4 linked regions of the Coturnix japonica genome follow. The main gene of each other region encodes a partner of the protein of the gene in region 3 in a complex. Links are inferred from orthologs where the notes say so. Each region holds a gene or a part of one and is shown on either strand. Other genes may lie near its edges.

Region 1 (7,503 bases), on a different chromosome or scaffold from region 3:
GGCTGAGCCAAATCGCTGTCCCAATATTACTGGACAAGAGAGCAGCAAAGAGAGGGAGAGTGGATTCTTTATTCTTTGCCACAATGCAGATTCAGTCCCATTCAGAATAAGAGTTAATAAAGATCACGGGGAAGTTACGTAGCATAAAGAAACACGGTTACGTACGCATGCTCTACATTAACTGGTTAGATGTGTGACTATGCCACAGGTCATTATTCAGACATAGCATTAAGGGTTATTGGAACAGAGAGAGGAGTTTAAGGTGGTGGGGATTACAGGAGACAGAGGTAGGGAGTTGGTTATGTTACATCCAGAAGGAAATAACCAAATCTACATTGATCTCCTTCAGAAGCAAAGCCAGAAGAATCAGTTTTTAAGCTACGTATTAAAGAGCTCATCTATTTCAAACCCGGAGCAGAGAGGTAAAGGAGTGTGAAGTTAATTCAATTTGGTTTTTGCCGAAGTTATTAAATAAAAGGTTACCTCCATCACGCTTTGCTGTTTTTAAAATAACCTTCCCAGCCTAACCTAATATACATACCTACAATTAAACAGATAAACTATGGGTTAGAAAGGTCTCAAAAGGCACATCGGTGTCTACACACTAACAACACAGCACAAGTACTAATTCAAGTCAAACTTACTCAAAGTCATAATCAAACATGCCAGACGGGCTGAGGGGCAGCATTTGAAAGGAAGAAAGCAATAGAAATTAATACACTAAGGAATTAAATCAATTAGTCCATTAGCCACCCTAAGCGAGAACGCTAAAAACAAAGTCAATGAAGAAATAAAAGCCGGTGTTCAAACGCCATGAAGTTCTGCAAAGTGTCTTTAACCAGAATGGGGCATAAGAAAAAGCACTGCAGGGTGGATATTGTCCCATTCCCAGGTGGATCTCAAGGATGGGGAGGTGTTAGGAGCGGTGTTATGCAGGGAATGCTGTGTGCTGAGCTCAGAGGGAGATCAGGAAACGGATTTGCTCGCAAAACCTCAACGGGTGGTCAGAAAGCAGTGGCTTTGTCTGGATTATTAAGCAAAGCAAAGCTTGTTCAGGCAGAGGTGGACACAACCATGAAGCCACGTGGCCACGTACGCACTCAATGTTCCCAATACTCACACAACACACAGCCTTCCACCCACATCCCTTTGGGAGCTCGGAATGGTGCCATGGCTGAGTCCAATTGTGGCTCATTGCATTCCCACCCCACATCTCAGCTCTCACACTGGTGGCACTTTACCCCAACCCTCACTGCTCTATTTGGTGCTTCTCAGCACCGGATCCCTATGAGGAAGGACTGTTTTCCCCTAAAACACTTTTTAGCCCTGAGAATAATTGCTGAACGCATAGAAAATCACCATCTGGGCCTTCTATGGTCTGAGGGAAGAGAGGATGGCTTCAATAAAGCACTGCCATGTGATCCCCTGTTTGAATAGTCAGAAATTAACCCAGCTGTTCACACCAGCTCTGCTCAATTTGAATCCACCTCTCCTCGCTGCCACTGGTGGAAGTCAATGCACCTTCAGAGCATCCATTCCCAGCAGCTCCCAGTCCTTCAGGTGAGCAGAATTCAAACATAGGCTGGAAATGAAAGAGCTTCTGAATGAGCTGTGCCATTAACAAAGCTGGGACTGGCTTTTGTTTGGTTTAAACCTGGATATACTTGAAGATCACTCAGGCTCTTCTGCTGTAATTTAGGGGGCAGTCGTTAGCAGCGATCACAACTTCTAACAGTTTGCATTACAAACACATTTAATCACTTTCCACTACCTGGCCATGCTAAGCATTACTGCAAAATCCTTTGGGTTCTTTAGATGCATCTCTTAGGATGATAAGAATTGTCATACCAGATCAGACCAGGGCTCCTCATGTCCAATATTGTGTCTCCAATAGTAGCTGCTTCACAGGAAGGAATGCAGAAGAAACCCCAAAGCAACACAAGCTTTCAGTAGGGCAGTTTCTTCCTAACACCCGTCACTACAGTTTGGGTGATGTAACGGAGCAAAAGAGTTTATATTATTTATGGCATTTGCAGCAGACCCCACTGTACCTGCAGCAGATTGCTTTGTGGTCCATGTAAGTGCCCAGCAGTGCTTTGGATTCTGTTTGAAACAGCAGCATTCTTATGCTGTACTTCAGTCGTACAGATTGTTTCTCTGAAGTGGTTTAGAGACGTGCTCTGTTACTCCTGGCCTTCCTCCCAACTGCCTGAGGGCTAAAAACCACTTCTGAACTGTTGCTGGTTCCTTGCTCAGGAGGAACCCAAAAGGACATCCAATACTTTGGGATGTGTGCCTGAATAAGGCTGCTGTGGGGAGAAAACCCTGACCTTCCAATTAAAAATGCTAATGGCTGAAAATCTAACTAATAAGTCGTAATTAATTGGCTTTCAGGCACTACACCTACCTTGGTGTCTCCCAGACAGACCTTTTCCCAGCAGTCCCTGTGGGATCTATCACTGTATTATAAACCATTTGTATAGGAAGGCTCCTCAAAGAGGAATATCCATCCATACCCAAAGCCAATGAGCTCAATAAGAACCTGACATCCAGGGAAAGCAGCACTGGAATTCAATGAATCCCAATGTGAGCTGTCAGCCCACTGTGCTGCATCTTGCCTTGAAGGTGCGCCTTAAAGGGTTGAAGTGGTCACCTAAATTCAATCACAAAGAGCTCAGGAAATCTGTTTCATGTGAATTTCAGGCCAGTTTAATAACAAGAGCTTGTGGTCTGTGTGATAGAGCAACTTGTACGTGCTATAATCAAAGGACTCTGGGACACGATAACAGGAAAGCTTTGGAGTAGAAAATGTAGTAAAGATAGTGAGTGTCGGCAGCCCCCAGAACACTCTAAGCTGTTTTCCATCCTCCTCCTCCAAAGAAAGCACTGACATTCCTATCTCCCTTAGCTCAGTAGAAACCAAAGAACAACCACAGGAAGCCGGGGCTGTCATCTTCCTCTACTGCAGGGAAGACAGCTTTATTCTGCTTGAAAAGAGAAAAGAACCCACAAAGCCTGGTCAGAAACACCTGAGCTGTGAGTACCCTGTGCTGAATATGCCTGCTGAGCTGCCTCCCTCCCTGACACAAGGAGAGCAGCAGGAGCACAGGCAGCTTCAAAGCAAGTGATAGAACCAAACGACCTGACGAGTTACTAGCTCCCTTCACATCATCAGCAAGAGCCAACCGTTCCCATTGCACTACTAGAAGGCTGTCGGTGCCACTAACCTGTGCCTGTTTTTATTCTTCCTTTTTTTGTGGCTGCTGTGATGGCTTCCAGAAGTGGAAGAAGCTGCTTTTTGGGGTTTCACCCCTTGCACTGATCCATCCAACTCCTCAGCATCCTCCTGGCTGGGTTCGTTCTCCTGATTATGGAAGTCTGGAGATGTGTCGCTTTCAGTCCCACTGCCCGGCTCACCTGGAATGGGACGAGAAGCAGAAGAGCCCAATGATTATCACCTCACTGTTCACATCCCAGGGCTGCTCCTGCAAAGTATGGGGGGGAAAAAAGGGCTACAAGAACTACAGACACCCAAATTTCTGGTGCCAAGGACTGGAAATGCAGCCCTGCTGTCAGACCCAAAGCCATGGTGACAGCAGAAGGAAAGGTCTTAAAGCTGGATGCCCACAACAGGCTGCAGCCTCCAGTAGTGAAGCTCTTATCTCCTCCCATAGCCACGTGCAGCTGATGGAGAGACACAAGACATCTAAAGGCATCACTTCAATCCTGGTTTCTCCATCCAAAGTGGACAGCAGAGAGCCCAACAAAGCAGAGATGGGGCCGAGCTGTGGGGAGAAGCTCAATTCTTCCTAATTCTGCCAAGTGAAGAGGTGACTTACGCTTCTCAATGAGCTGATCCTGGACTCCAGCTAACGCACTGACAGCCTGGAAGGATGAAATGGGTGTTAATGACAACAGGGATGCACTCATGGCTTAACAGATACCCACAGCAGCTTGGTCCCATGGGGTTGGGGGCTGGGGGCAGCTCTTACCGCAGCAGAAGTGACTGAGGATTTGCTGAAGAGCCTCTCGGCCTCTTTAAACTTGCGGTTCCTGCGGTCGTTTTTGCTGTTGGAGTTCCTGCAAAGGAGAAAAGAGGATGGAGGCGGCCCATGGAAGGGGGGGGGGGGGTTGGATGGATGGGGAGGGGGGTTTGGGGGTCCCATGGAAGGAAGGGGGGCGGGTTGGGATGGATGGGAGAGAGGCGGGGCTGAGGGTCCATGGAAAGGGGGGGGCTGGGATGGATGGGAAGGCGGGGTTTGGGGTCATGGAAGGGGGGGTTCTGGGGGTCATGGAAGGGGAGGGGTTGGGATGATGGGGAGGGGGTTTTGGAGGGTCCATGGGAAGGGGAGGGGTTGGGAGAATGGGAAGGGGGTTTGGGGGTATGGAAGCCGGGGAGGGTTGGATGGATGGAGAGGGGGATTTGGGGGTCCATGGGAAGGGGGGGGTTGGAATGTATGGGAGGGGGGTTTGGGGGTCATGGAAAGGGGGGGTGGGGGGTTGGGATGGATGGGAGGGCGGGTTTGGGGTCCACACTCACTTCTGGTTGGTGAGATAACGGTCCCAGCCGCGGATGATGTTGCCGTACATCTGCGTGTCCTCCAGGTAACTCCCTTCGAAAGCATAAATCTGCCTTTCCAGGTTGGCCAGCGTCTCCTACCGGGCACACACAGCGCGATGCATAGAAGCGGGCCTGGCCTTACCTTAAGGCCACAACCACAACCACAAGCCTCACCGCCTTCCCACTTTATCCCCCCCGTCCCCATCGCTCCCTGCTCACCGCCAGCTCCTGTTTGCGTTTCACCAGCTCGGCCAGCTCCCTTCGGGTGTCCGGGATTTGCGGGGGTCCGCCGGACTTAGCGTGCAGGGCGGCCATGGCGGCTGCGGCCTGCGGGGAGCGGGCGGGGCTGCGGGGAATGGCCGCTAGGGGGCAGCACTGAACAGCGCTCCGCCCCCCTGCTCCGCCCCGCAGCCGCTATAGGGTCGGGCTTAATAGGGACATGGGAGGGGGGTGATGGGGAGCCCTAAAAGCATCCAGGATTTGGGTCTGTGCAATAAACAACAAGGCAAACCTCGAATATAAGGTTGAACCCTTCTGCTCACTCAGCAGCTCAAAAGCAGGGCTCAGTGCTTCCCTGTGCAGTGCATGGGGGGGAAATAGGGATATAGGAAAGAAACATTACAATTAAATAGAATTACAAATTCTTTATTTAAAAACCTTGAGATTGTGTATATATATAAAGGTGATCCTTCAAGCCAAGATCTATCCTGCTTTCTATATGAAAACCTATATCAACACCCCGTATTTACACCATCAATGCTCCAGTGTGTGTATACAGGTTGTGTGTGTGGCCATAGAACAAACAGGCAACAGTGTGTTAAGCATCAACATGGAAACCATAGGGAACAGACAGCCACAAAGAGGTGAGATGTGTTTGTTTCCAGTCATTGGGGTTTTTAATTTCCTCTTCCTAAAGCTTTTCCTGTGGGGGAGAATGTTAGAAAGCAACGAGAGCTTCAGTTCTTTTTATATATATATATATATATATAAAGAAAAACTTAAATAGTGCAAACCGGGTAATAAAAACATGCCACCACGTAACGAGTACAATTACAAACAAAAAACATTAAGTTACTCATGGAGCTGATAGAAACAAAGGGCTGAGGTTTAGGAGATACATGACAGTCAGCCATAGTTTGGGTGCTGCAATGTATAGCGTGCATTGATGTGGACCTCAGCCCTCCCAAACCACATCGTTGCAACCTAAAAGCCTCAGGTTGTGTTTCCTTTTCTTCTCACTTACCTTGGAATCGACAGGCAGCTCATTGTGGTCAAATGCCCATTGCTCACAGTGCAGAGCAACCACCCAGGACACATAAAACCTTTGCAATATCCCTCTTTTAGTAGCAAACCTGGTCATTCTCCCTTCTAGAACTCTAGAATTTGGCAAACTCTACAAAACAAGACATTACAAACAATGCATGGGGTTACATTTGAAACTAACACCTCAGTTCAGTAGCGTTTTCAAAGGCTTATGACAAAAAACAGTGGATAAAAATATTCTTAAATACACTTTGCTGTGTTCTACATCGTTTCTTTATCCAGCAGAAAACCATCTTTGAACATGTTTCCAGCATCAGATCATTCACATCCAGCTGCTCTTTTGCTTGTCAGGGGGGTGAAATAAGTCAGATTTCCCACTATACAGACCTACCAAAGCCAAATATTCAGTGGAGTCCCCCACAATAAACCATAAGAACCAGTCAGCAACAGAAGGACTTTAAGGCAATAAGAAGCACCAGTGCTTTGATGCTCCAACATCTCCATCCCAATGCATGTTTTATTGTAAAAGATTCCTCTCCCCTGCTCCCCCATCCCCAATTGCCTTCATGTCTGTTAACTATCGGACTCTTCCTCCTTCTCCTCTTCCTCATCATCGTCCTTTGCGTTGGCCTCTGATTTATCAGATGATTCATGGAGAAGGACGTACTCCCTGCTGCTGAAGCCAAACTTCAATACATCCTTTTCTTTCAGTTCGTAGTAACGTTGAGGCTCAATCCTCTGGTTGTTTAGAAAAGTACCATTGCCAGAACCAAGATCAATGATATACGGCTTTACCCTGCGGCCAACTGTGCCATCAGCGCGTGTGTGCTCCACAAGCCTAGAAAACAAAAACAACCCATCAAGTCAATGATAACACATGGATTTTTCAACACATCAGCCCCACTGTTGTAAATACTTAACCATACTTCAAAGATCTGAGCAAGTACAATGAGAATAATTAGACAGGGCACGGAAATACTCAAGATTCTGACAGACTGCTTCACCCCTTAAAGTTATGATCATATAACATAGTAAATCCTGAAGCAGAACAGATGGTTGTTCCTTAAGAGAGCAGCTCTGCCTCCTGAAGCACACAACCCTGCTGTTTATAAAGGAGATCGGCAGCCTTTGTTGGGAAGGAACAAATGAAAAACCCTCCTTTAAACGTTCTTTATTGCCAATCCCACCTGCTAATAACTCCAATTCAGATATACAGGCAGTTCTGTATTTCATCCTGTTGTGTTGTGTTTCTTACTAAAAGTCTAGATATGGTTAAACCAAAAGGAATTATATATATGTTAAGAGTCACGAGGCTGCTTATGGTTAAACAAAAAGGAATTACATATATGTTACATCCATACCTAAATTCCACCTATCTAAAACCATTGAGCAAACATGCATTTTCTAATCTGTGCACATCCAATACGTTCTTTGATTCCCTTTGCACGCAAGCGACCAAATAATCCCCACCTACCAGAGGGATACAGAGCGATACTGACCGGTATTGGAACACAGCGTGTTGCTTTGAGCAGGAGGGATGATCAATGGGGATATCTGCTATCCTGCGGTGCCTGCCCAGGAGATAAGCACTCTGCCTATGAATGTACATGACAGGCAGGAACTCATCGTTTTTAAATGGATAGAGACGCCATCGTTTCTTTGGAATCCGAGCTTCTGGG
Region 2 (6,758 bases), on a different chromosome or scaffold from region 3:
ATTCTGTCTGAGAGCAAGAGTGAGCATGATGGGCTGGGACGTGCTGAAGCAGCAGACCGAGAAGCAATGCTAAAGGCACACAACCAACTTCAATCCCTACAACAGAAACCCATCAGTCCGACATCACAGCTTCCTTCAGGGCTGGGGGAAAAGATGAGATCTGACTTTTGCTGTGGGTGCTCGCCTGTCAAAGGAGCAGTGCAGAGATGGAGCAGTGGTGCTGACTCACAGCATGGCAAACACATCCCCTCCACAGTGGTGCATGACCCAGTGCTGCCTTTCTGCCATCACAGCAGCCCCGAGCAATGCCTCAAGCTCTTTGTAAAATCCAGCACACTGCAAGACCCTGGTGAAGCTTTAAGACCTCGCTCCTCTTCTCTGCTGCCTGGTTTTCCAGACTGACTGAAGGGCAGTTTCTTTCCACAACCCTGTAGGACCCATTCAATAGGACAGAGTTTGCCCTGAAAACTCCCCCTGCTCTGCTGGTGGGGTTGAAGCTGATGAAGCAGAGCAGGATGTGGGATAAGCATCCGCTGGAACAGCCTTGATGGTGCTGAAGGTACATGCAAGCAAAATGGCACAGAAGATGTACAGGATCCGCCCTGCTTTGAAGTGGGTAAGTCTGATTTTATCACTGGGTGCAATTGCAGTTTTTCTTGCATGCTGTGCAACCCCAAGGCTGTTTAATAGCCTGGACCCAGCAGGGTGAGGTCTCTGCTGCAGCACTGTGGCCATGGCATGCTGGGGCTGATCCCACATGGGATGGGCTGGGGGCTGCACCGCACTCCTCAACGCTGCTCCCCAAAAGCAGGAGCCTCCAGAGAGCTGCCAGCCCACCAGAAGCTCTGTGCCCATAAAATCAGACTTACCCAGTTGTCCCAACACAGTTTCGTTGACTGATTTCCTTTTTTCTTTCTTCTCAGGGCTATTTTTTCTACCATCTCTTCCTTTCCTTCTTGGATCACTTTTCTTACCCTTTGTCTTCTTCCCAGTTTGTTCTGGCATTTTTTAGAGAAAAAGGAAAACTCTGTGTGAGACAAGGCACCAGGGTGAGCCAGCTCCACAGGGCACACCCTGCAGGGACGAAGGCTGTGCCACTTCTTGGCCAAAAGTAGGCTCACGTCTCTATAGGTAAAGGAAACGTGAATCCTGTAGGCTACATAAAAGAGGTTTGGGCTGTGGCACGGCCACAAGAGCAGAGCCACCAAAGGCAGAGAACTTGCTAGAAATTGTGCAGCCACCAAGGCACCCTCCTGGAATGGGGTTCTGGGGACTGCAGGGAGAAGCAGAGGGGACACCCCCCAAACTCTGCTCTGGAAACGTCACAGAGACCAGGAACAAGCCCAAAGCCTGCTGTAAAACCCACTGGGAGATGAGAAATAACCTCAAACTCCATTCAGAAACCCTCCAGAAGAACAGCAATGCACCCAGACCATTCCAAAGCCCTCCAGGAGACCAGAGACCCTCCAAACCTGCTGGCACATCGTAGAAACTGCCTGTGCACACCCCAGGCGGGCTGTGGACACAGCTGCAGAAGGAACTGAGCTGCAAAGTGCATAGCATTGGCAGTGTTTTTCAGCAGACCTTGGTGTGATTTTACCTTTCAGCTGTGGTAACTGTTTAAACTCATTACAGACAGTGGTGGAAAAAAACAAAGCTATAAAACCGGTGTATCGAACATGGCTAAACAGAGGAGGAAAGATGAGCAACGTCACCTATGGAAAGGCAGGAATGTAACTGCAAGCTATGCAGCTGTTCAGCTAAAAATCAATGTTTCCTAAATGGTTTCGAATTTCTACTGGATTTATTCCTCTTGGGTAAACAGGACAAACACATACCCCATAAAAGTACAACGTGTATTGCCAAGTGCAATACTCCAAAGGTTTTTAGTTACTCTCTCAGGCCCAGAGAAGTCTGTGCTAAAGCATCCAGTTTGATTTTTGAAGGGGGAAGGACATTGCTCTTACACCAGCATCTGGGCAGCTGATGGAGGTGAGCTGATGGAGGTTGTCAGCCCGACCAGCAGCTCAGACCTGCAAAAGCCATGCAGCTACCAAAGCAACAATGTTAAGAACTGGAAACTGTTGCTGATGCAAGTACATCAGATTTACTGTGTTGGATGGGGGCAGCACAGAGAAGGGCTCCTCTTCTTCCAGCTGGGCTGGAAACATATCGGGCAAGCAGAGGAGGGCATCTGCACAGCACCTGCATGCACAGGGGAGTTAACAGTCCCAGAGCTGCCAGAACCCCGCACAAGCACAGGGCTCACCACAAGAAAGAAAAGCAAAACAGGTATTTGTTGCATTCCTGCCAAATAACAGGAGAAACAGACACATTTTTCACTTTGCTTGCAAAATAAAAACATAACTTTGTTTGGACAGCACAACGGATCTAAAGAAAAACGTGAACGTTACTTTGTGAAGAGGGACCTGTCAAAATAGCAGCCATGTTTCAAAGCCAGGCAGAGCTTTCTTTCTGCTTCATGCAATAAAAATAAGGGAGAGAGAGATGGGCTCATCTTACATGGGCAGTTCTCACTGATTTTATTAAAAACCTCCTGCTGAAATCACCATTTATCAGTGAGAAAAATAAACCCCTCAAGAATGGCGCTTCATAGAGGAGCCATTCCAAAACTAACCTGAGCTTAAACCATCTCTGGGATAACCCCAACAGACTTTGGTTACAGCTATAATGAAAGCAGATAAAAACCAGCTTTGTCCATGCAAAACAGTGCAGATTTTCTTCTTTCTCTGAGGAACTGCAGGCGTGCAGAGCAATCCAGTCAGGAGCAGCACTGAGGATTGCTACAGGGACCATTCCCCATTGACTGCAACTCACTCAGCCACTAAATCACTTTCCAACCACTAACGATGCAGAACACAGCAGCATGGTATCCATAGGTTTGGTCCTGTGAGCTGCTGAGGACCTTTAGCTCTAAGGCACCTGAAGCGAGGAGAGCCAGCAAAACACATGGGTGCTGACAGAATCGTGTAGGATGAGGGCACTGAGGATGGGAGCAGCGTGTAGGGTTGAAGGAAGGATGGCCTGAGGGATGGGATGTGCTACCCCACAGCGGGGAGCTGTGCTGTCAACAGAAAATAAAACACCAAAGTGCTCTTTGACTCATGGAAAGAGCACCACGGAGGCCACCCAGCAGATGAACAGCAGCTTGGCTCAGACAAGCATATGAGCACAAAGCTCATAGGCAAATGCAAAGTGTTTGGGGCTACATAGGAATAGCACTTGCATCAAGACGCAATTACAAAGCCTGCATACCTATCTGCTGTATCAATCACCCCACAACTACAGTCCTCCAGGCAGGCCAAACACTCACAGGTGCTCCAGTTCCCCCCAGTGCACACCTAATGCCACTGGGAGCTCTCACCCCACGCTCTGGTGCTCCAGTTCCATATGGTCCTATGCTAGAAGGCGAGTTCCCACCCTGCCAAAAGCCTTCCTGGAAAAGGACCAAGCTGAAGAAATGGGTTCAGCCAGCTTCCCCAAAGAGCCGACGTGACAGCAGGCTGTGCTCCTGAAACAGCCCTTACAGTGAAACCTGCTAACCAGGGGAGCAGCAACCTGCCCCTGCCATCAGCCCACATCCCCATTGCACACCCTGGGCCCTGTGCTGCCCAGCCCCAGCCATGCAGGGCAATCTGCACAGGATCCAAGCCCCACACGTCTCAACACACACACACACGTCTCAGCCTCCAAAACTTCAGTCAAAGGAAACCTTTGTAAAGGAAAGCTCAGCCCAGACAGTTCCTGAAGAAACCCCAAACATGTGATGGCTTCAAATGCAACTCCAAAGCCACAAACACAACAAGAGTCGGATGCGTTTGCCAAAGCTCCAGATGCTGCTTCTGGAAAAAGTGTTCTGCAGCCACAGAGCCTGGTCCTGTGCTGCCACTGGAAGAAAGAAGGAGGGATGCAGGGCTGTGGGTTTGGGCAATGCTTGTTTAAAAGAGGAAAAAAAAAGACAGAAGGAAAACAACTTTATTTCAGCTCCTTAACAAAGAGGTGCCAGAGGTTTTGCAGGAAGTACGTGTGTCATTCCCACTAGCCAGTATAACGGAGCAGGAAGAACTACAGGCCACAGAGCTGAAGGAAGTAGAAGTCATCCCATCCACAGCTTCACTTCTGACACAACCAGAGGGAACCAAACAGACCCCAGAGCTGCTTCACAGGGCCAGGCAGTGCTGAGGAGCACAGCCCCGTGCTCAGGACTTGCTTTCAAAGCGAGGAATGGAATCAAGTGCTACTGCAGTAGCACCTTCACGTGAACCCTGGGATTCTGTTTTAGCACCAGCACCTAACAGTGGTCATCTGAGTGAGGATCAGGAGAGATGTGTGACAGCAAGGACTGCTGGCACCTCGGTCCTCCATGGTAAGGCATCACTGCACACTTCAGAACAAAGCTGTCAATGTTTGATGAGTCAACATAGGAACTGAGCTGGAAGCAGCCAGCAGGGCAGGGGAGGCTCTGCCTTCCTCTGCTGGGGTACTAAGGTTCAGAGGGCACTGAGCAGATCCTGCAAGTGGTACTGACCTGGGTAAAGATCTTTCTCAATGAGTATCATCTGCAGGTGGAAGATCTGCTCCTGGAGTTTGCAAATGGTGTGTTTCATTTTCTCCCGCCTCGTCACCATGTAACAGAGATTTCTAACCTAAAGAAACACAAGAAACAGTGTCTGGTTTAGCAGGGCTGGAAATGAGTCCCCAAGCTGCATCACTGTTTTGCTTCCTGGGGACAGCTCTGTGCCTGGCTGTCCATCCTCTCATCCTCACCCAGGCTGAACACAAACACCCAGCTTAGTCTGTAACCTCTCCTTCACAGGCAGAACTCACAAGCAGGATTCACACTTCTGCACCCATACTTTCTAACACAGCTCTTGGGCAGGAAAACGTGGCCAGGGCACTGCCCTGAGCAGTCAGGGTTAACCTGCAGCGCATCCTTCAATCTGTTCTGCTGAAGAACATTAATGCATAAAGAGAGCAATACTCACCAAAAGGGAACAGAGCTAAGAGAACCCCAGGTACCTTACCAGAAACCACGCAGCAACAGTGTGGATGCGCAAACTGTTGTAATCTCCCATTAATTGCTCACAGGCCTAATGATGCAGTTAATGTTTCTAAAGCATTATGTAGGTCTCAGAGGTTGGGACGCCATGGGAGCAGTACTGTAATGCAGCTGGGGGCTGGGGCATCCCCTCCTATCATGGAGCACTTCACACTCGACACAGGGACTCGCATCAGAAGTTGTGGGGCTATTGGAGAACTATTTCCACTCTTATCCATCAGTTCTCCTTTTGCATCCAGCATGGAGGTGAGCAAGGAGGGCAGAGCCAGGCCCCAGCTGTGCTGCCTGCATGAGCCATGCAGAACTGCCCACTGCCCTGCAGTGGGTGCTGACGGTGTACAAACAGAGCAGAACACACAGCTGACATCAGACTGCGCCAGTAGCCACGTGCAGATGTGGCTGTCCTGACCCACAGCTGGCCAGCACCTTCCCCTCCACACACTGATTCGTGTTTGCCCCACAGGTACCTGCAGTCTCACTTCGTTTTGTACTACAGCTCACGACATTTTACTGAGAGGGAAGCTCTAAGTGCAAGCCACTGAGGACAAGAAATAAGCTTTTCCCTAACGCTTCCTTCCCCATCCCCAGCCCCCCAGGACAAGCTCCCACCAGCAGCACATCCATCATGGGGCAAGATGCATCCCCCATTTCCTGCAGCTCTCATGCAAACCAATGGTATCACAGCTGCTTCTCATGGGCATGCAGCTGCAGACAGCTCCATTGCCAGCCTGGTGTCACGGCTCAGTGCCACTGTGTGCAGCATGACTGGGGCAGCCCAGCTCTGTCACCATGGCTGCAGCCATGCAGTGGTTCCCCAGGACATGACTGGTTTTGGTGGGGTTAGCCAAGCTGTGAACCCACACATGGGCACAGTGAGCAGCCTGGGGCCTCACTGCCACCTGGGGACAGTCTGGGAACACTCAGGTGTACAGGACAGAAAGGCTTTTTTCCCCCTCCATCTCCTAGCTGTAAATATACAGCACACTGCTCGCTGCTTCATATTTTACTACATTCTCTTTTTTTTTTTGTTCTGGATGGAAGAAAACATCAAACTGAAATTTCTTTATGAGGAAAACAACTGCCTCTGGCAAGCAATATATCAAAGTGTTTGGCAATATCTCCTCTCTGCAATTTTATACTCCTGGAAGAAAGCATCACTTGCACTCTGCTTAGAGAGACTGCTGGTATTTACACACACTTAGACAGTAAGACAGCACCCGCACTGCTTCCCCAGCCAAGCTGAGATGCTGGGATGAAAGCCTGGGAACCATACAGCTTTTTGTTACAACTAATTTAAACAGCCAGCTCTTGGTAAAGGCTTTAAACAAAAAGGGCCAAGAAGAAAAGGAGGAAAAGCGGGGAGGACCACATCAGGATATCCAGGAAATGGGACTGACATATTTGCAGAGCTAAACCTCAACCCTCAGTTCATTTCTAAACACTGCCTGGAGAGCTGCTGGGGGCTGCCATCACCCCAAATCCACCCTGAGCCTCCTGGGACAGGTAAGCATAGCAGTCTGTAAAGGGATGCACAACAACCACCCTGATGGAGCACATGGGTTTGCCATTACAGGGAAAACCACACTCACCCTCTCCAGGTCTTGCCTGAGGTGTGTGAAAAGCTTCAAGCGCCGGTAGAGAACATCCTGCTCCTGCTGAGCCAAGTTGTCCACTTCAT
Region 3 (7,306 bases):
GAGAACAACTCCAGCCTCTTCTGTAATACTACTGCTCAAAGCCTCCTCTTGGCTCTCACCAGCTGCTCCAGGCTCTTACCGAAGGAGAAAATGAATTTTCCTTGCTGAAACAAATTTGAGATTGCAAAAGAGAGCCACAGGACTTAACACGATAGCTTAACTAAGTGGTAAAGAAGGGAGATCGAGTTAAAGTCACTGTCACTAGAAACCTAAGCTGAGTTTTTTCCTACTCTTAACAGAGCAGCCACTCCACTACATGAAGACTGCCCACCTGGTGCCTGGTGGCGTGCCTGTTGTTGTCATCCTGCCGATGGGCCAGCATTCTCTCCTCAATCTGTTTATCCCGGCTTTGTGCTCGCACCTGGAAGTCAAAACTCCACCATCAACACTGCAGCAAACTACTGTCACAGCTTCCATCTTGTCCCTTTGTCTGTTTAGGTGTAACATAAATTATTTGACAAATGCTGCTGTCTTATAGCTAAGGATATCAGCTGGATCACACTATTTCCTATGCACAAACAACAAGTCTTGGCACTCCGCCCTATAAAAGCATAAGGGAGATAAAACAGAAGACTTCATTACCTTGCACTCATCTGCTGACAGGTTGTGATACAGTGGGCATCCTGATATGGAGAAGTGTCGCTCGTGTTTTCCAGTTAGGTGTCCTGTAAAGGATCAGGAAAAAGAGAAAGCTTTCAGCATATGATCATTAAATGCAGCCCAGATGGTCAGATACTGCATACGAGCTTCTCAAGAGAATAACTCAATTTGTTAACAGTGTGGTAGGAGGAAAACATTTCATGCTTCGTGGCACAAGCTATAAGAACAAAGAAGGAAAATCCCTTTCACATTAACTCAAAAGCTGCGCTCCATGCAGGCAGTCAGGTACATTAGATGACTGCATTCATCTGTTGCTGAGAACCTGCTTTTGGCTGAGATCAATACCCTCACCTACAAGGCTCTGCATTCTCCTCCCACACCTGTGCTTACTCTCCTAACTTGCTCTTTATCCCATCGTCCCCCAAACACCTCTAGACAATAAAGATAGAGCTGTGGATATGCTCCGTAACTCTTCTCTATACCCAATTCTCAGTACTGTTTCTGATTCTAAGCAGCTCCCTATCGTTACGTTGTATAAATCAACGGAGGGGGGGGCTTAATATCACCACAGGAAGGCAAAAAAAGTCAACAAATCAATCCTGGAACTGAAATTACCTAAAGAGTTACAACCAGGAGTGGGACATTTCATGTTGAAATTGTAGCTTTCATGGAAGCGGCGGCGCTTAGGGCGGTGAGACAGGTCACTTCCAGAATCCTTCATGGACATGTCCTTGGCAATGCTCTCATCATGGGATACATTTGGACTGGAGATATCAATATCAGACTCTGAGGAAGGGGCATTCCCGGTGGGGGTACGAGGTGGAGACTCATCGTGATCCGCTGCATTTTTAGTGTCTGAACAAGGATCAAGATGTTACAAATTTGCCAGAAAGAAAGCTTTCAAATATATATATATATATGTAAAGCAACTCTGGATAGCTGTCTCAAACCCTCTAACCTGAGGATATCACACTGTGCCCAGAGAATGGAGCCACATATCCTTTCCAATGGCATTTTACAAGCTCTCGACACCTCACTGTGTCTACGTACCTCTGTCAGAGAAGTCAACCACTTGTTCTGTTTCTGATCCAGACGAGCGGGTCTGTCGGAGTGGGTATTTCTTTGGAGTCACAGGAGCAGGCTGCTGCTGGCTGCGGGTCACTCTCCTCGTGGAATAGACTGGTTCTTCTGCTCCAAATGAGGGCGGATTGCGAACTGGGCTGGAATCTAATGTCATAGAAACACCATAATTACACCCACAAGAAGCAATGAATGCCCGTGAGCTGCAACACATGAGCTCTGATGTCTGTAACACCGACATCTGATAGGGTATCAGCACAGGATTCTGTGCAACCATTGCACATCATCACGGAGATACGTTTATATTCTTCTAATTCACTTTTACAAACACACATGGATCTGGTATTACATCCACTTTCTCTGAGATAATAACTTAATGGATTAGGAATTACAAACAGTTCCCATTTAGAAAGTAGTAGCGATTAACTTAGATTACAGCTATCAGCATTTAGAAAACTCTTGAGAATATCAAAGCTGCTCCTGGTATAGAGACACATTTGGGACACCACGTATGGTTTTATATAGACACACTGCTCATAAGGTTATAAAACAGTTTATTCTGCATGAAAACAATGCTTTCATACCCTAGCAGCATTACAGGCATCCCACATACCAACCCAACCCACTTTTCTTCTTGTTTTTGAGGCATGCAAGTAGGTTTTTTACCTACAAGAAAACCCATCACAAAACAACACAGAAGGAACAAACTTATCTACTGCCATTTTCTCCCCTTGAGGCAGCTTAATAACCAAGAGATCAAGGAATTGATATTGTAAAGCTAAAAATCAGGAGGTGGACATAGGCTTCTTCTTTTAAACTGGGCGTAAAGGCAAGCAAAACAAGCCTTGAAAGCACATCTTGACATATATGATTACCTCCCTCTTTTGCTTACCAATATAACTACCAAGGTTAAATCCTCCTGCTTGATGTGTTATGAGGTGCTTTACCTTGGGAGCTCTGGCTGAGCCTGGCTGAGGAGCGGGTGACACGGGCGGACCGTCGTGACGTGGCGTCGCTTTCAGAGCTGTCCGTGTGCTCCGGATCCGTGGAGAAATCCGAGTCTTCTGTTCCATCTGAGCTGCTGCCCGCGTTCCTCTACGACACCATAGACAAGGATATCAGCAGGGATGTGCTTATATACCACATTAAAAACCCATACAGAAAGCATATGATGGATAACATTGAGTGTATGCTGTGATATACCACGTTATAAACCCATACAGAAAGCATATGATAACATTGAGTGTATGCTGTGATGTGCCACCTTATAAACCCATACAGAAAGCATATGATAGATATTGAGTGTATGCTGTGATGTGCCACATTAAAAACCCATACAGAAAGCATATGATAACATTGAGTGTATGCTGTGATGTGCCATGTTATAAACCCATATAGAAAGCATATGATAGATAACATTGAGTTGACACTGTGATGTGTTCAATATATAAATGCCAAGCGTTTCATGGCAGATATAAACCCTTTTGTGTCATTAATAATCATCACCCTGAAGGCCCAGAGGGGTAATGGGGGGGAATAGACGGGGCCTAGCAGGGGATGAGTCAGTTGTACACCACACAGAGCAAACCTGGGCCTGGAAAACAACAGGAGGGAGCACGGTAGGCAACGAAGCTGTGTTCAGCTTAGACCCGAGGCCTGTGTTCAGCTTAGGCCCAGAGGCCTGTGTTCGGTTTAGGCCCAGAGGCCTGTGTTCAGCTTAGGCCGCAAACGAGGCCTGTATAACGACAGCGGCCTTCAGGCTCCGGGCCTGTGAGGAGCGAGTGGCGGCCACTGAGCGCGCACACCGCCCTTAGGCCGCTTTGTTTTGCGCTCTATAGTCTCGGCCAATCATAAAGCGAGTGGGTGGGACCGGAAAGGTGAGCTCGCCAATGAGAGAAGGAGCATGCCGGTAGGGTGTGAGTGACAGCTGGTGGTAGCCAATCAGGGAGAGGTTTGCTCAACCCCCACCGGAGAGGAGTGGGGTGGGGGAGGGGAGGAACGAGGCACGCGCGGGGAGGTGACCGTTGAGAGGTGATGGACAACCGTGGTAGCCAATCAGCGGCCAGCCCAGTGTGACAACCCAGCCAATAGGCGGCCGACTCTTTAACCGTTTGCCCAATGGGAGAAACCGAGAGGAGGGACGCGCTGCAGGCGGAGGGGGAGGAAAAGGGGAACCGTTGGGGGCGATGAGTGACGAGCGGGGCGGCCAATCAGCGCTGCGCGGGTCTCTGCAACAGCCAATAAGCGAGCGAGGGGGGCGGGCGCAGATGTGGGGGTGCTGCAGGCCGCTATTTCCCCCCTATTTTCTCCCCATAACAGTTAAATAGAAAGGAGGGGAAAGATAGAAAGCCACGTCCTGACCCTGCCGCTCCCTCCCCGGCCTCACTCACCTTCCTGCGCGGCATCCTCGGAGGGGGCGGGGGCAGCGATGCTGCTTGTTCCCCGGCTCCCCCGGTTCGTGAAGCGGCGTTGGCCGCCGTGTTGGTGCCGGCGGGCTCCGTGGTGCCGGCCGTATCGCCCGCCCTACGGCCCGTCTGTTCCGCCGCCAGCCCGACTCCCCGCTCGGTCCCTCACGCTTCCGCCGGGACGCGGCCCACACCCCCCTTGTCACGTGACGCCGCGCGAGCCTCACGCCAGCGGGAGCCGCCATCTTTGTTTTTGGCTGTCTAAGAGTGAAGTTGGGGCGGCCATCTTGGTTTTGGGCTCCCCCCCCCCCCAACTCGGCGGGAATCGGGGCTTGCGGCGGCGGCCATGTTGAGTGAGGGAGTGAAGTCTAACGGGTGTTCACAGACACTCCGCGTGGCGCCATGTTGGGGCCGGGCAGAAACGCGCCGTCGGGGTGATGGAGTGATTGATTGGGTGGAGGAGAAAGGCGGTGAGTCCCCGTTCATTTTACGGCGGAGGCGGGGAGCGGCGGCCGGACGGCCCTCCTCGTCAAGGGGTGCTGCCGTCTGCCCTGCGTGCGGTCTTGCACTAGGCCGCGGCTCCTCGCTGTGGCGGGCGGGGCTGGGCGGGCCGTGTAGGCCTGAGGTGGGCCGTGTAGGCCTGAGCCCTGTAGGCCTCTGAGGTTGGGCCCTGTAGGCCTCTGTGGTGTGGGCCCTGTATGTAGGCCTCTGCGGGGTGGGCCCTGTAGGCCCGAGGTGGGCCCCGTAGGCCTCTGAGGTGCGGGCCCCGTAGGCCCGAGGTGGGCCCTATAGGCCTCTGCGGTGTGGGCCCCGCAGGCCTCTGAGGTTGGCTGTGTAGGCCTCAGGTGGGCCCCGTAGGCCTCTGCGGTGTGGGCCCTGCAGGCCTGAGGTGGGCCCTGCAGGCCTGAGCCCTGTAGGCCTCTGAGGTGTGGGCCCTGTAGGCCTGAGGCGCTCTGGGCCTACTCCCTCCTTCCCTCCCTTATACAGATGGGCCTTTGCTGTTGGTTAACCTTTATCTCCTCATCATTTCTATGTGTGTGTATGAACATTTGCCCTTGTGTTTCTCTCCCAGCTCAGCTTGCAACAGGGATGCGATTTTCCCTCAGCCCTGCTGAGAATGAGGGCGTTTGGTTAAACGTGTGATCTGTTTGTATTTAATTTATCTTTAGGGATTATCGAATAATCGCGGTTTAATCCTATAATCCCGGTGCTTTGTGTCACCTTTAGTCATGCAAGTTGCTTTCATTGCTACTTGTTGCTCTTAGGATCTATAGGATGCTGGAAGGGAAACATGGAGGAGTCAAATGGAATGTCTGTTTTTAGCTTAAAAAGAGAGGAATTGGAAGCTGTGTGTGTGCTGTGTGAGGTGGGAACCTTTGCATTGGTTGCAAATAGTACATTCAGTTTACATTCAGTGTAAGCATTTTGCACTCTCATCCCCAGAACAACTTGTTCTTCTGGTGTTCTTTCAGTGACCCAAATTGCAGCATAATGCATCAATTCTTCCAACTTTATATGAGGAATGGACTGAAAGAAGCCCAAACGTGTCTCAAATTGCACTTGACCCCAACATCTAATGCGTTTCTATGCTGTTAGAATGACCTGAAATGCTTAGTTCAGAATATGATGTGTGTGTAACTAAATGGCAGCAGGAATGGGAGCAGAGGAAAACGACACGCTTCTTAATAGATGGAAAAGGGAAGCATTGATCTGAATACGTCCTAGTTGCAAGTGAGACCTCGCCACAGTGAATGTATATCATGTTGCAAACTGATGAAGGGCTTTAATGGAAATAGAGTAGATACAGCCCAAACTTAGGCTGCTTCTGGTGGACATGATAATCTGTGTGGTGTTTGAATGGGTCTGTATGTAGAGGATATTTGTGGCAATGGTTGGAAATGCAAAGTTCCACTATAGACATCTATTGGAGCTGAAGGTGATGGGGAAAATAGCAGTGAAACCGGAGCAGATAAATCCTTGTGTTGGCTTCACCACTAGATGTCAGTGCTTGAAACTACAACCAGAGCAAGGCAGACAAATTAGGAATCAATTGAGGAGGAGGAATGATATCCTCTGCTCATACTTATGTCTCCTGGGGGTTAAGTTGCCTTAATAAGGTTCTTGAGGTAAGTTTAGTGGCTTAACTAGCAGAATGTTCCAGGCAGGAAATGAGGAATTTCCTGGTGTTGCTTCTAAAGGAAGTTTAGAAGGTGTTTGATGATTTGAAGTTTCATGTTAAATGACACAAAAATGTGTGTTTCGTTTCTTAAATCCTGGCTTCTTGAATATATTCACATTCTCAATTGCCATGAAGGGCAGCAGAGGTAGATAACAGGAAACCTAGGTGAATCTGTTGGAGTCTTTTTAGGCCTTGATCCTCACTAAACCTCTTTGAAACCAAAGCATCCTCCTATGTACAGAGAGGGATCTGTTAGCAAATACAGGCAATGAGAAGGGAATCTCCACCAAAAACCCATCCACAATCTCCATAAACAGGTATGGACATCAATAGGCTTAAATAAGATTTAAATGTCCAGTTTCTTGCCTTGGTTTGTGCTTGCTGTGGTGCTGGGTGATCTGTCTGAGGGATCTTAATGCAGCTATTGCTTAGGTTAGTGGTGGTACAAGGTAGGCTGCTTATGTAGGAGTTGTTCTGAAGCAGAATGAAAATGCTTCAGGTTTCTCACTTGCTTTCCAGATCTTAAAGCATTCACTTTAATTACTTTGCGTGCTGTTTGCTATGCTGCATTCCTCCAGGGTTACTGTACCTGTTTCAGCATGTTTTAAGGCAAGTGGGACAAACACTGAGTGATGAGACTCTGCTGCAGAAATATCTGAAGTGCTGTATTTCAACCATTCTTCCTTGCTTTTAGGTGCTATCTCAGACCAGCTGTGGGGGCTGCAGTCACACAAAGGCAGCACCATGCTTGTATGCTGCAGCTCTATGGAGTGTTGCCACACAGACACGAGGATCCAGGACTACTTCACTTTGTGTTCACATCTTCTGAAGGTGAGTACAGCTGAGTTTGATCTGGTTTGGGTTCCAACTTGCTTCCCTTCAGTGTCCGTTCTCTAATAGAGCAGCATAAAAGAACCTTCTGATCCACACATATAAAGCTTGGAGAATCTCTGCTCACAGCTTGATGTGTCTTAAAGGCCTGTACTGAAGTGGGTCACTCTGACAAGGGCACTCTTACTATAAGATAAGTGAAGCCTGGCTG
Region 4 (7,204 bases), on a different chromosome or scaffold from region 3:
GCTGCTCCGACACCAAAGCCTGTAAATCAGCGCACAAAGGGTATTAAAGAAATGCAAGCAGTTAAAAGCAGAACAATGAAGAGAATTAAAAACCACAAGTAATCCCACTAGGGACATTTCTTTCCTCCCTTGTCAGAACGCACGCTTCTATACATTTTGTACACAGCAGCCCCAAACCCAGGGCTTTCTGTACTGAGGTAGAAAGAAAACACTGCCCATTTATTACGCTGTACACGATACAAGAGAAGATTTAAATATCAATCTACTGCTGCTCAAAGCAGCAGGAAGGAAAGCTCTGTGTATAGTTACAATTTTCAAGTGCTCGCAAACACCCACATCCCTCTGTCAACCCAACAGCTGTGTCAATCTAACAGCAATGTCTTCACGTTAACGAAAAGCCAAACAAACACAAAGCTTTTCTCTCAGACTCCTAGCAGACACATCCAGTTCTGGGCTCCCCAGTACAAAAAAGACAGGGATCTCTTGGAAAGAGTCCAGCGGAGGGCCACTAAGATGGTGAAAGGCCTGGAGCATCTCCCCCATGGGGGGAGACTTAGGGAACTGGGTCTGTTTGGCCTTGAGAAAAGAAGGCTGAGAAGGATTGGATCCAGTTTTATACATACTGAGGTTGTGGAAGCCATAGTGGTGAGGCTGGTCTGTTTTTCAGTAGTGCGTGGGGACAGGACTAGGGGTAATATGGGATGAAAGTACAGCATAGAAGTTCTTCGTAGAAATGTGCGAGCAGCTTCTTTACAGTGAGGGTGACGGAGCACTGGAACAGGCTGCCCAGGGAGGTGGTGGAGTCTCCTTCTCTGGAGATATTCAAGACCCGCCTGGACGCCTACCTGGTGACGTGGTGTAGGGAGCCTGCTTTGGCTAGGGGGGTTGGACTCGATGATCTTCTAGGTCCCTTCCAACCCCTACAATTCTGTGATTCTGTGATTGTGCACTTCACCTAGGAGAAGCACTTTGATCTCGCAGCACGACATGTTGAAGCGCAGGCAGAAGCAGCGTGGCTCACAGGCTGGGCCCCATGCAGGCCTCATGGTGCCAGCCCCAGGCCCCATACCACAAAATGGCAGCTGCCCGCCAGTCTTGTGCACCACACAGTGCACACTCTGTGACATAATGTGTATGTTTGGTGGCCCTGCCAGGCAGGGGGGTTGGAACTACATGATCCTTGAGGTCCCTTCCAACCCGGGTCATTCTGTGACTCTGTGATAATGCCAACTAACTGCGACCACAACTCCCACCCATGGCATGGTCACACACTGGGGGGTTGGTGGGCAGCACACTGCCCCTGCCATCGACCTGAGCATGCTGCAGGTGGGACAGCAATGGCAGCCTCAGCATAGCAGCAGCTTCCAGCAGGTGCAGCAGCTCCACACAGCATCCTTAGGTAGCATTTACAGAAAGGGGAAACACAGGAAGAAAAGGGAAAGAAAGAAAGAAAGAAAGAAAACAAAACAAGTGAAAGAGGCCTGGACAGTAGAACAGCTAAATAACACACGACTCCCTCCAGATGGTGTGACAGGCCTATTTGTTTCAGCAACCAGTCAGGCATGTGTATAAACCTGTTTTTTAACATCTCCCTCCAGCTCTAATTAAAACACACCGAGGCATTAACAACATGATACGTTACATTCAACTTGCAGTTCAATAAGCAAATCATTTCACTCTACAGTGTAAGGCAGCAACAAGCGTAAGGAACACAAATGCTCTGGAGTGTTAAATGTGGTTCAAGGAGTGAAGGTCCCAGTGCCCCATCCATAATCACAGAACCATAGAACAGCACAGGTTGGAAAAGACCTTAACGATCATCAAGTCCAACTGCAGCCTAACCATGCTACCCTAACTAACAACCCTCTGCTAAATCATGTCCCTGAGCACCACATGTAAAGGGTTTTTAAACACATCCAGGGACGGTGACTCAACCACCTCCCTGGGAAGCTTATTCCAGTGCTTAACAGCCCTTTTTGTAAAGAAGTTTTAGGCTGGATACCAGGAACATTCACCCTGGTGAGGCAGGAGGCTGTGTCCCACACCACACCAGGCCCTGCAGACCTTAATACTCCCCCACTCTGCCCTGACCAGCACCCAGCCCCAGCACAACGTTTAATGCACCCGGCAGCCTCTCAAGACACAACCAGCATCTGTTGGCTTTCGTGACACAAATACCCCTGCTAAGAGCTATTATTAACTCATTAGTTTCTATTTTAAGTAAAGCATCTCAAAATTGCATTTACGTCTCCAATTACACGAAGCCTTGAGTGTTACAAGCGCTTCAAATCTTCACAAAACAAAGAGATGCCACAAAGTGGAACAGGAGCTGCTTCCCCCTCCACACATTCCACAGGTCTGGGGGAGCTGCAGCCAAGGGTGTGCAGTGGTCTGAGGGAGCTGGGAAAGCTTAAACCTGCACAACAGAGCAGCAAGCTCTGATTAGTTCTGTTTTGGTGTATGGTGAGTAAAGTAAAGCCCTAGCTATGCAGCAGCTCTCACTACAGCCTTGCACACTCATGTTCACACCAAAGGTCAGGTGGACAGACAAAATCTATACCTGCTACACGTACATGAAACACGTGAAGCCAAAGACTGCTGGGCTGCCTGACCCAACCCAGGGGGAAATCGGCTGCTGGGGGAAAGAGAGCGCAGCCAGTCCTGTACAAGGAAAGCAGGGAAGGAAACATCAAATGAAGGACAGGTAAAAGAAGCTGCAATTATGGTGATGCCTTTTGCCACATACAAAGGCAGCCTTCTTGGAAAGGAGCTTTGTTCTGCTCCTCTTTGGCATTAAGAGCAGAGCATGTCACATCTAGTTTGGAAAGAGGTCAGAAGTTCAGTTAAAGAAAAAAAAACCAACAGCCAACGCTTCACATCCTCAAAGCAGCAGCTTGGTTTGAACGGGAAAGGTGCTTTCTTAGCAAGAGACCAAAAAGTTGTGTTTTTTCCTTACGGTAAACGAATGCTCTTCTCTTATCCCACCGGGGAACTCTGTGGTAGCTGCAAAGTCAGCCCCAAACAGCCTCACTGCAGCCTCCCTCCCCAAGCCCACTCCCCAGTGCCTCCAACCAGGGCTGGGACACACACACCCAGCAGGTGCATGTATTGGTGATGCTCTGCAGAGCGGCCTGCGACAAACACCAATGGGACGTAAGAGGCTGCTCCCTTCACCCATTAGTTTTAGTGGAAAGGCTCTTTTATGTCAACAGAGGCACTAGAGCTTTCAAGTCACCGGTGTACTTTAATCAGAGTGTTTCTAATCCAGATCGGATGTTACCTCCTGCATCTTCTTCTATATGCAAAACCACAGCTTTCACGTACAGCGCTAATGTAGAGATATCTTAATTAAAACACGCAGCCATTTGTCAATGACACCTCAACTCTTACAAATAATAACAATTAGTAAAAGTAGTTGAAAAAGAATGAAAAAAAGGGTTAGCACCAATGTGTGCCATAGGGATGCCTTTCAGGACAGCCCACACCCAGCACCCCCCGCCCCGCGTTACCTGCGGAGCTCATATGCCGTGCCATGCCCGCTGTGAGGCAGTAGCCCCGCCCGCTCCGTGTGCCCGCCGCTCACCTTGGAGCGCGGCTCTCGGGCCGCCCGGCGGAGGCGTCGCGCCAGTGCTTTATTGTCAAACTGACTTCTAGCAAGTTCCTCGCCGTGCCGACAGGAGCCACTCGGCACCGGCAGGACGCCCAACCGCCCGCCTCCCGCCCCGAACAAAAGGGCGCCGAGCCCGGGCCCCCGCGCCCCGCCACGCCCGGCCCGAGCCGCCGCCGCAACTTTTCCCTCCGGATGCGGCCGAACCCGCGTGGGGATGGCGGGATGGCGGGCGGCCGGGCCGGGTACCGCGCCGCCCCACGTACCGGGCCCGCACCGCGGCGGGACGCGCCGCCCGCTCCTTTCTCCTCCTCCTCCTCCTCTCCGGCCTTGGCGCCAAGCGTCTCCTCCCGCCCGCCGCAGGCCCCGCCGGCGCCTCCCCCCGCGCACAGGCCCCGGCGCGGCGGCCCCGGCGGCCCAACCCCCGCCCCGCCTCCCCGCGGGCCGCCCGACCGCGCTCACCTCCCGCCGCCGGCGAGGCACGGCCCGGCCCGGCCCGGAGCGCCGCCGCCTCTCAGCTCGCCGGCGTGGGCGGCCGTGGCCGTCAGGGCTGGCGCCGACGCTCCCTCCGCGGCGGCTGCCGCCGGTGTCGCTGCCGCTCCCGCTGCTGCTGCTGCTCCTGCTGCTGCCGTCCCGCGCCGGCGCGCATCGCCCCCGCCCGGGCCCGTGGCCGGCGGCGGCTCCCGCCCTGCGTGCCGGCTGCTCGGCGCGCCGCGGCCAGGCCCGCGCCCGCCCCCACCCCTCCTCCGGCCGCACAAGAGCCCTATTGTACTGCTGACACCGCCGGGCGGCAGGCTCCGCCTCTTCCCCTTCCCTCCCTTTGCCCGCGCCGGGCCCTTCCTGCCGGCCGCGGGATGCGGCCCCCTCCCCCCGGGGCGGAGCGACGCGGGGTGGGCTTTGGCCGCTCGGCCGCCCCTCGGCTCGGCCCCCCGCGCCCCGCCGCTGACTCACCCGCCGCAGGGCCGGCCCCGGGCCCGGCCGCTTTCCAGCCGCTGCTGAGGGCGCTAAATTTAGAGCGTTCGGCCGGAGTTCCACGAGGCTCCTCCAGAATCCCCGAGCCGACCTTAGGGCTGTGCTGAACCGGCACCTCAGCGTCCGACCCGCAGCGGAGCTCCCTGCTGGAACCGCATGGAACAGAAATGGGCGGCATCGTTCAGAACGAAGGAAGCAACAATATGCAGCAAACCTCCTCCGTTAATATACAGCAAACCTCCTCCGTTAATGTACAGCAAACCTCCTCTGTTACTCGGCTTCGTGCCCAAGCGCAGCCCCCGTGCTCCTGCTCCACGTACCCCTTGCGTCAGGGGCAGTGGGAGACCTCTCACCCCCTTATCGCTCACCCCCTTATTGCTCACCCCCTTACCGCAGGCTTGTCCGCAGCCTCCCCACGGCCCCGCTGCTTCTGGAGGCACGGGAAGGCTGCTGCATGCACACGAGGCCAGGTGCAGCCAAGCAGTGACATGAGACAGCTCGCGGCATTGAAGACACAGCAGCTCTGGCCACAGGGTGGTCCCTCCAGCCCAACACCTCAATTGTACCTGCTGCAAAAGAAAAGTCTTGTCTTTACTATTGCTGCGTGTAATGCAAAACGTAACTTTCTACTAATGCAGTTAGACAGCAGCGGTGATGCTGATACATGCGACTTCCTTCACGCACCGGTGATCGCCTGGTTTGCTTTCTGTTCATCGATACACACTTGCCAGGAAAACACTGAGAGCAGATTGGGTAAAGCACAGTGTCAAGCAGAACACCAGGCACAACCTCATAGAATCATAGAACCTTCCCCACACATACGCTTGTGGGAGCTTCTATTAACCTCAGAGGCCTTGGCGGTAGGGCAGGCAACAGCAGTGAGACAAAGAGATTTGAAGTCCAGAATGAAGAGAACTCAGAACGATAAAATCGAGTCTGTGTATAAAAGGAGAAGACCAATTCCTGGTCATAAAGGGAATTTCAAACCTGGTTGAGTCAGACTGAAAGGAAACCATTTTCATGTAGCAATATATCCATTTGGATTTTAAAACTCGACATTTCTATGTTCTATGGGAAGATGTAGCGAGACGAATAAATAGGAAGCAGATTGTACACTGCTGCTCTTTGCAAATACACATGCAACAGTTCCCACTCTTTCCTGAGCAAGGATGAACTACAGATGCTGGTACCCACCTAGAGAATAGGAGGGATTCGCAAAGCCAGATGTTAACACGTTGATCAAATATAGCACAGCACCTTAAAGTCCTCCCTGGGGAGGAATGCAGTGGAAGCTAGAAATATAAGAGCTATGGTCAGGATGAAGTGATGTACACATCTATACCATGCTCACGTTGAACCAAATCGCTGCGCAGCTCCACAAAGGCTGCGCACAGTATATTACGTATTAAGAAAGTTACACTGAAGTAATGTTTAACAGCTGAGAAGTTGGGTCACTCAAAGTTTAACGTGGACTCGAGCAATGAAAGAAGTATCTATAATTGAAATAACTAGAAGTACTGCAGCGGATTTCAATGGAAAATGCACTGTTTTCTATGAAACCTGCTATCTCTGATCACTGAGCAGTGAAGCAGACGGCCAACAGGTCAGAGCACTGTGAAGGAGCAGCTGGGGAAGAGAGTGGGAGGAGGTGGGGGGGAGGAAGAAGGTTCATATCCCTTCATTTGTACCCCTTACCTCCAAGTCTATGCAACATTCCCATCCTGAACACGTAATCCTCCATGGGAGCAGCTGTACTTATCCCTGATAAGAAAAGAAACGTGCCGACACCAAAGCTTGGCATTACTCCTTTCTTTCAAACCCACCGCTTAAGACTTGATTCATTGGCAGGTCAGACGCTGTTGATGAAGCCTCGATATCATGCCCTTGAAATGAGAGCGAGCACTGACAGCTACTTGCAAGAGACGGGGCAGCTCACCTCCCTTATTTTCTTTTCACAATGAACAAAATTACTGAAGTGTTATAGCAAAGCACAAACACCCACCTGCAAACAAGAAAGCTAATTATTGCCACGGAGTAGCTTTCTTCTGCTGGGGGAAAAAAAAAAAACACATGCAAAGTAGAGTCTCATTTGAGCATCATTAGCTGCCTCAAAATCCTCTGTGACTAAAGTGTTCCTTTCCGACACCAAGTATTAGAAATAGGAGCAAAGAACACTCAGAGCTTCAAAAGGTTCTTGTTTTTTCTAAGGCTGAAGCCGATCCTTTAGCACCTGTTGGGGCAGCTCTCAAAAGATGCCCTCGGGTCACAGCTCAGCCCTTCCATTTAATCTGCACAACAGAAAAAAAGCACCTGAAGTGTTGGTTTTTTTAAAGAAGGGATGTTAGAAATGGGGAAAAGGGTCTCTCCTCTTAAAAAGGTCAGCACATCCAGCACATCCAGACAACTGAAGTACTGGCATCGCCACAAAGTACCTACTCTCTTCAGAGCAAAACGTGTGTGCCAGCTTAGCTTCCCAGGATCTGACAAGTTCAAAGATCTGTGCACACACACAGAGTCTATTTATCTTCCTCCTTCTCAGATAGTAACATAGAATGGAGAGAATTGCCAGCAGCATTCAAAATGTATCTATTGGTACTGGGAGTCACCTACCAATACCGAAGCAAA

Evidence for each region.
Region 1: KAT7 (region 3) and MEAF6 share a complex: the UniProt entries of both Homo sapiens proteins name them as parts of the HBO1 complex. The link is inferred for Coturnix japonica from reciprocal best matches to the Homo sapiens genes KAT7 and MEAF6.
Region 2: KAT7 (region 3) and JADE2 share a complex: the UniProt entries of both Homo sapiens proteins name them as parts of the HBO1 complex. The link is inferred for Coturnix japonica from reciprocal best matches to the Homo sapiens genes KAT7 and JADE2.
Region 4: KAT7 (region 3) and JADE3 share a complex: the UniProt entries of both Homo sapiens proteins name them as parts of the HBO1 complex. The link is inferred for Coturnix japonica from reciprocal best matches to the Homo sapiens genes KAT7 and JADE3.

Annotation. Positions count from the first base shown.
Region 1 is NC_029538.1:3,341,433-3,348,935, reverse strand, and holds the start of MEAF6 (chromatin modification-related protein MEAF6), read right to left. Parts: upstream 4,927-7,503; 5' UTR 4,877-4,926; coding exon 4,781-4,876; intron 4,657-4,780; coding exon 4,541-4,656; intron 4,081-4,540; coding exon 3,993-4,080; intron 3,886-3,992; coding exon 3,840-3,885; intron 3,418-3,839; coding exon 3,228-3,417; intron 2,985-3,227; coding exon of another isoform or gene 2,960-2,984; exon of another isoform or gene 2,242-2,959; intron 675-2,241; coding exon 645-674; intron 542-644; exon of another isoform or gene 484-541; intron 1-483. Other genes in the region: SNIP1 (smad nuclear-interacting protein 1), read right to left, coding at 6,398-6,662, 7,324-7,503.
Region 2 is NC_029528.1:2,389,292-2,396,049, reverse strand, and holds part of JADE2 (E3 ubiquitin-protein ligase Jade-2), read right to left. Parts: coding exon 6,670-6,758; intron 4,668-6,669; coding exon 4,550-4,667; intron 4,419-4,549; coding exon of another isoform or gene 4,408-4,418; exon of another isoform or gene 3,979-4,407; intron 999-3,978; coding exon 870-998; intron 1-869. UniProt on the Homo sapiens protein: Scaffold subunit of some HBO1 complexes, which have a histone H4 acetyltransferase activity. Acts as an E3 ubiquitin-protein ligase mediating the ubiquitination and subsequent proteasomal degradation of target protein histone demethylase KDM1A.
Region 3 is NC_029542.1:2,707,100-2,714,405, forward strand, and holds the start of KAT7 (histone acetyltransferase KAT7), read right to left. Parts: upstream 4,298-7,306; 5' UTR 4,086-4,297; coding exon 4,071-4,085; intron 2,776-4,070; coding exon 2,628-2,775; intron 1,828-2,627; coding exon 1,651-1,827; intron 1,456-1,650; coding exon 1,216-1,455; intron 666-1,215; coding exon 583-665; intron 362-582; coding exon 272-361; intron 1-271. UniProt on the Homo sapiens protein: Catalytic subunit of histone acetyltransferase HBO1 complexes, which specifically mediate acetylation of histone H3 at 'Lys-14' (H3K14ac), thereby regulating various processes, such as gene transcription, protein ubiquitination, immune regulation, stem cell pluripotent and self-renewal maintenance and embryonic development.
Region 4 is NC_029516.1:117,322,494-117,329,697, forward strand, and holds the start of JADE3 (protein Jade-3), read right to left. Parts: upstream 4,202-7,204; 5' UTR 4,070-4,201; intron 3,927-4,069; exon of another isoform or gene 3,874-3,926; intron 1-3,873. UniProt on the Homo sapiens protein: Scaffold subunit of some HBO1 complexes, which have a histone H4 acetyltransferase activity.